2 linked regions of the Callithrix jacchus genome follow. The protein of the gene in region 1 interacts with the protein of each later gene in a pairwise test. Links are inferred from orthologs where the notes say so. Each region holds a gene or a part of one and is shown in the gene's direction. Other genes may lie near its edges.

The links. The genes of interacting proteins can lie anywhere in the genome.
Region 2: the proteins of STK4 (region 1) and SAV1 interact in binary tests that used the Homo sapiens proteins (3 or more experiments, as listed by UniProt). The link is inferred for Callithrix jacchus from reciprocal best matches to the Homo sapiens genes STK4 and SAV1.

The regions. Positions count from the first base shown.
Region 1 is NC_133506.1:40,426,119-40,429,690, forward strand, and holds part of STK4 (serine/threonine-protein kinase 4), read left to right. Parts: intron 1-2,779; coding exon 2,780-2,938; 3' UTR 2,939-3,572. UniProt on the Homo sapiens protein: Stress-activated, pro-apoptotic kinase which, following caspase-cleavage, enters the nucleus and induces chromatin condensation followed by internucleosomal DNA fragmentation.
Region 2 is NC_133509.1:85,225,844-85,229,415, reverse strand, and holds part of SAV1 (protein salvador homolog 1), read left to right. Parts: intron 1-164; coding exon 165-608; intron 609-3,572. UniProt on the Homo sapiens protein: Regulator of STK3/MST2 and STK4/MST1 in the Hippo signaling pathway which plays a pivotal role in organ size control and tumor suppression by restricting proliferation and promoting apoptosis.

The DNA.
Region 1 (3,572 bases):
ATTTACTCTTCATCCTAGTGGCTGGATGAAAAGCAAGTCTACCTTCCTGATTCCCAGCTCCCCTTCCTTCACGCTATTTTTTATTTTCTTTTTTTCCAGAGCACCTTCTAATGTAAAAATAATTTACTAATTTGCTGTTTATTGCTGTTTTCCTTGCTTCACTAAAATGTAAGCTTCACAAGGGCAGTGATTTTGTTTTGTTTTTTTCACTGAAGTAGCCTATGTGCCTCGAACAGCACCTGACTCATTGAGTAGGTGCTCAATGAGTATTTATAAGTGGATGGGTGAAAAATACTTTGTTAAACTGTACATAATAAGTTAACAGGAATTATGTCCCAGTCCTTAGGCATTAGCACAAAATAGAATAGAATATTTTCTTTTTCACATGTTTCATTCTAGCTTGAATTAGAGGTTATAGAAACAGCTTCTTTATGGAAGATTGGAGACTTACCAATCATATATACAATAACAATGATATGAATAACAATAGCAACAATAACAACAGTGATAACTTCCATTTATGGAATATTTACATTCCATAATGTAGGCACGGTGAAAGGCACGTCTCACATGGTAGCAGACAAAAGAAGAGAGCTTGTATATTAAAACAGAGTAATATAGTAAATTGGTACCAGGAGTGGTACCAAATGCCAAAGACTAGGCAATATTATTCCATAAATGGAATATTTACTGTCTCTCCAACACATCCCATGTGAAGTTCTGAGCAAAGATTATCACACCATTATCTCATCTAAGACTTAGTACAGATGAAGGATAGAGGAACAAACTAGTATTGTCTGTTTTCCAAAGGAGGAAACTGAGGCTCAAGAGGCGAAATTACTGTTTAAGGTTAAATAGCCAGTGCAGATTGAGGACCTGTGATCCCAAAGATTACATTCTTAACTACCCGTTACATTCAGTATTAGGCTTGGGGAATTCTCTCTTTGCAGAAGGAATAGAAAATGCCAAAGACTAGGCAAGCACCGCTCTTTGGGATGTCCTTGGGCCAAGAACACCAGCCTCTAAGGTAGTATAAAACCACAGGCTGGAAAGACGCATGTTTTTTCAGCCCAGCTTTCCAGTATTTACCCACACTCTCAAGTCTTTCCATCCTCACGTTACAAAGAACCTTTCGTCTTGTACTATTAGGGTTTCCCACTTCTCAGACACCCTCCCTGGAGCAGGCCAAGGAAAATTCCTGTGGTGACAGGTAATTTCTAGGAAGGCCACTGTAGCACTTCATACTTGCTCACACCCCACCCACTCAAGGAAGGGTAGACAGAAAGAGGCTCCTTCACCCAGCTTCTATACTACTTTCCTGTTGAGGCCACAGAAAGGGGCTGAGGGTCATGATTTTCTAAATGTGGACACAACAGCCCTCTTGTAAGACTTGGGTGAGCCTTTGAGTTCTTGAAACGCTGTACCTATTAAAACTGGTTGTGAACACACAGAATAAAGTATCACCACCCACTGCGGATAATGTCAGCATTCATTCCCACCCCTGACAGCCAAGACTGGCCTGGCTTGTAATCAGTGAACACTTCACACATGGCAGCAGAGCCCCTTACCCCACAGCTGCAGACACAGGTTGAACACTGGTGCACCCCTGGGCCTTTATGAAAAGAAAGGCTTGTAACACCCACTGCCATCTTTACACACACAGTGCACTAGGTACTGTGCTGAGAACTTCACAACCATGATCTCATTTAATTCTTATAATTAAATAAGATGAGGCACTGCTGTCCCACTTCGGTAGATGGGGAAGGCCTGGAGAGATTTGTAACTTGTCAGAGTCTTATGGCATCTGCAACAGGCAGAACCACATTTTAAACAAAGGTTGAGTTAGTTCTGGGCTTTGCTAGTCTGCTCTTCTGTAACAGTGGTTAAGAGCATTGACTCTGGAGCCACACTGCCTGGATGTCAGTCTTGACTCTGCCACTTACTATTTGGGAGACGTTGGGCAGGTTACTTAGCTGCTCATCTGTAACATAAGGATAATAATGTCCTCATAGCGTCGGCTGCTGCAAAGATTAAAGGAATCCATGTATGTAAAGCACTCAGTGTCTGGTGCATAGAAATCACTAAATGCCAGCCATTATTATTAATTTATGTATCTAGTCCTTTTTTTCTCTGCTTCATAGAAAGTTAATTTCAGAAGTTTCAGGTTTGTCCAACTACCCACCCTTACTCCCAACCTCTGCCAAGGGTTGAGTCTATATTCCCAAGGGGCTTAGAGTGCTACCTGCTATATAGTAGCCTCACATGAATGCTGGTGATGATAATGTGGCAGTGCCAAGACATTGGGGGTATGGGAAGGCAGGGTTAGGGGCTGGCATCTGCATCTCGTCAGCGTCCATCCTCCGTGGTATTGTATCCTGAAAGTGTGAAGGGTGCTATCCAGATGCTCATCTTGTGGACAGAACAAGAACCAGGAGGCAACCATTATTTCACGTATAGCAAGTTACTGTTATTTTAATGCCCTAAAAATGAATCTATATTTATTTAAAAGCTAGCGGAGGTAAGAGTATTATTCACTAAGTTCCTGGTCAAGGTACATTAAATCAAAGAGGTTAGCACTTAGAACTCTTCCAGGGACAGATTATCTCAGACAAGCTTCAAGGTATGTCATTCTTTGGAATAAATTGTCACTGTTCAACCACCACCTCCCAACAGTGACCTCCTGTCTCCCTTCCTTTTGGGTGCCTGGGAAGTCAGCTTCGCCACTGTTCTGCCACCGGCCTAAGCTTTATCGTGACTATACTTTCCACTTCTCTTCTAGCTTAAGAGTTGGACAGTGGAGGACCTTCAGAAGAGGCTCTTGGCCCTGGACCCCATGATGGAGCAGGAGATTGAAGAGATCCGGCAGAAGTACCAGTCCAAGCGGCAGCCCATCCTGGATGCCATTGAGGCTAAGAAGAGGCGGCAGCAAAACTTCTGAGCAAGGCCAGGCTGTGAGGGCCCAGCTCCACCCAGGCTGTGGTGAATTCTGGATGGCTTGCCTCACATTTGTTAGCCAGCACTTCTGCTCTGTCATTTCTCCACAGCACCTTCGTGAACTCAGGAATGTGCGCCAGTGGGAAGGGCTCTCTTGACAGTCAGCGTGCCATCTTGATGTGTGTATGTACATTGGTCAGGTATATTATTTCAAAGGATTTATATTGGCGCTTTCAACTCAGAGTTTTAAACCCCAGTAACAGAGACTCCTAGTTGAGTGATAGCTGGGAAAGTTTTACATTGTCTTTTTGTTTTTCTTCTCCCAATAGCTTTCAATTGTTCTTTCTGGAAGACTTTTAAAAAATATATAAATATGCATATATATATATATATATAAATTATAAATAGATTCCCCACTCAGTGTGGTGGCATCTCTGTACAGGTACAGTTTTAAACAGTTTGCCTCTTTTCTGTAAGATTATGGTACTGTGGAAATGAGACATTGGGAGGCTGTTAGGGGGTCACTGAATCCCCGGAGCCAACCTCCCCCTTTGAAAGGCTACATTTACAAATTAGGTTTAGGACAGTTCTTTTACCATGGTTTCAGCCTTGTGTGGTCATCACTGGCTTCTGGAGCT
Region 2 (3,572 bases), on another chromosome or scaffold:
AAGTGCTGGGGTTACAGGTGTGAGCCACCGTGCCCGGCCCAAAATTGTGTTTTCTTAAGTTTACTGACATTTTGATTTTGGGGTTGTAGACACAAATGAACAACTTTTGAAAACTGCTTTTGTTACTTATTAAAAGGCTAATTTTATCCTTTGTTTCATTATAGATCTTATGCCTTCATTCATCCGGCATGGTCCAACAATTCCCAGACGAACTGATATCTGTCTTCCAGATTCAAGCCCTAATGCCTTTTCAGCTTCTGGAGATGGGGTAGTTTCAAGAAACCAGAGTTTCCTTAGAACTCCAATTCAAAGAACACCTCATGAAATAATGAGAAGAGAAAGCAACAGATTATCTGCACCTTCTTATCTTGCCAGAAGTCTAGCAGATGTCCCTAGAGAGTATGGCTCTTCTCAGTCATTTGTAACGGAAGTTAATTTTGCTGTTGAAAATGGAGACTCTGGTTCCCGATACTATTATTCAGACAATTTTTTTGATGGTCAGAGAAAGCGGCCACTTGGAGATCGTACACATGAAGAATTCAGATATTATGAATACAACCATGATCTCTTCCAAAGAATGCCTCAGAATCAGGGGAGGCATGCTTCAGGTAGCTTAACATATAAATACTATAGTAGTTTATTGACATGTCAAGTGAAAAGATGTTCTTTTCTAGATTTTCTTGGGGCACAAACTAATACTCCTAGCAAAATACTTTTCTACTTTGCTAGTCTTGCTTAAGCCTGTGTGCAAATAGTTGGTAATCTATACTGAATGAATTAACTTGTGTTGTATAAACCTGGTTCTTATCTCAAGGCTGTCTAGTCTCTTAATGCTGTGACTCTTGTAAACCTAGAGAATTTAATGTCTCCAGTTGGGTTGAATTTATGTTCAGATTTGGTAGAATAATGGGAAGGGTACATCTTCAGAGCCACTGGACTTAAACTTGGGAAAGGAAAGAATAGGAAGAATTGGGCATGCTCAGTGATACCGTGAGCAAGTACATTACTGCAGTTTTTCTTTGAACAAAACTGATTTAGTAGTTCAGGAATTCTTTCCTGAGTTGATCAGAAAGACTTACTGCCATACGGTTGTGTGTTGAGCATGTCTTTTTATTCTTTTTGTAACAGGCAAAAAATATTACCATATAATTAAGGAAAGTAAGGTACTTTTTATATCTTCTGACTTGGAGATACTTCTGAAAGAAGCAGAAGAGATTGGAGAAATGTACAGTTCTACTTTATTCCTAAAGTCCTGGTTTCACTAGATAAAATGAAGCAAGAAGAAAATAAAACTTTCTTGTCTGATTATTTTTTTCTACCAAGTAATAGACTTTAAATTTTGGCAGGATAAAAATAAAATATGAGAGAGATTTACTTTTTGGCCCACATAAGTTCAAATAAGGTGACTTTAAAAATGTTTTGGAGCATTAGTATTTTGACTGTAGAAAAATTTATTCATTTAGTATTAATTGTTTACGTGTCTAGCGTTTTCCTTGGGCCTGTTGGTCTCTGCTTTCTGGTACCTTATTTGTCTGGTACCTTCTTTGGGGAAACAAAACCAGTTTATACACAATGGTCACAAAGCAATTGTTATACTTTGTGATACTAACTGTAAGTGCAACAGGGAGTCAGAGAGATATTAGTGTAGACTGAAATACTTAAAGAGATGATTCATAGAAGAGGTTGGACTTGGACTGGGCCTCAAGCTTGGCCTTTAGATGAACAGGGGCCAGAAGAAGGACATTTTATGTGGAAAATTGGGAATAACACAATGAAAACAGAGTAGGCCTGGTTTAAATCTAACGAACAGTGTAGCTCTGCCTGGTTTGAAGAAATAAGATGTAACATGGAATGGAGATTTGTGGTTCAACAATAGGCTTATAGATTTGAGTCAAGTGGAAGTTATTGCACATTTCAAAAAGACAAGTGATTCTATGAAAGCAGTGTTTAAAGATTACTTTTGTACTAGAATTAAGGGTAGATTCCTAGAGAAAAGAGGATTGCAGGTACCAGTGGGTACCAGTGGTAATAGGAAAGGGAAATCTAGGACGTTTTTGAAGGAAAAATGAGAATTAGAGTTTAGGAGAAAGCAAATCACTGAAGTTTTAAATAACGTGAAGTAGTTGGTAAGAACAACTTATTTATGAAAGCTGACATCAGAGTCTCACTGGAACATTAAGAGCAGAGGTTTTCTGGGCATGTAGAAGTGCAGTAAGAGCCATGGGTGAGCACCTTTTCGTTTTTAAAGAATTAGGTTAAAGGATTAAGACAACTGCATGCTTGAGTGTTTATTTTGGTTGTTTCTGATATGCACTTCTGAACCTCAGGAATAATTTGTTATCTAACTAAAATAGTTTTAAAAAATAAAGCTCGTTTATATTTTCTTCTAGAATAATAACTGCTTATTATAGGAAATCTGCAGCAAAGTAAAGGCAGCAAATCTGCAGCAAAGTAAAGGCAAAGTACCCATCTGCTAGAGATCTCAGTATATTATTTGCTTCATTTTTTTCATGCCAAATTCTTTTTTTATATTGATGTGATTATATAATATTTTGTATAGTTTTCTGTTCTTGCTTTTTACTTGAATCATTTTCTTCATGTTGTATACTTTTTATGAGTAGTTTTAATGACTGTATAATCTTCCATTTGGTGCATATTCAGTGGTTAATGAAGGCTTGACCTGTACTTCAAAAATTTGGAAAGGGGAAAAAGTGGGTCATGCCCAAATTAATGGGACTTGACCACTAATGGGGTTTGAAGGACAAAGGAGAAAGAAGAGTCAAATAGGATTAGCACAGCCACATGACTGCCTAACAGATGCTTACAAAAATAAATGGCTGAATGAGTGAATGAACCGAGAGGTTTTAAATCTGGAGACTTAAGAGAGTTTTTGGTAGCTGAGGGGCAACAGAAATAGCCATGTTTACTGTTGCTATAGAATATGTGTTACTCTTTGCATTCACCTTTCCCATCTATATTGCAGACATCACTGAAAGCTTGTAATACTTTTCTACCTGAGTTATAAGTATGTAAATATGAAGAATAAATAATAAGTTAAACTTTTGTTTTCAAAATTGAATTTGCAAAATATAGTCGAGGAAATACTATAAGAACTAAATCTCTACTGATCCTTTCTTAGGAGCAATTTGACATAATTTTTAAAAGTTTAAAAACAGACTTTAAAACAACTTTCCAATAAAGTAAAAGTTAATTATAAGTTTTCAAATTCAAGTATGTCATTTAAAAAAATTTAGATTTCAGATCACTGATGAAAGAAATTGAAAAGCACAAAAACAAGTGGAAAGACATCCCATGCTTGTGGATCAGAAGAATTAACATCATTAAAATGACAATATTGCCCAAAGTAATCTACATATTCTGTACAATTCCTATTAAAATAACAGTCATTTTTTTCTTTTCTTTTCTTTTTTTTTTTAAGACAGAGTATTGCTTTGTTGCCCAGGCTAGAGTGCAGTGGTGCAATCTCGGCTCACTGCAACCTCTGCCTCCAGGGTTCAAGCAGTTCTCCTGCCTCAGCCTCCTGAGTAGCTGGGATTATAGGCACCTGCTAC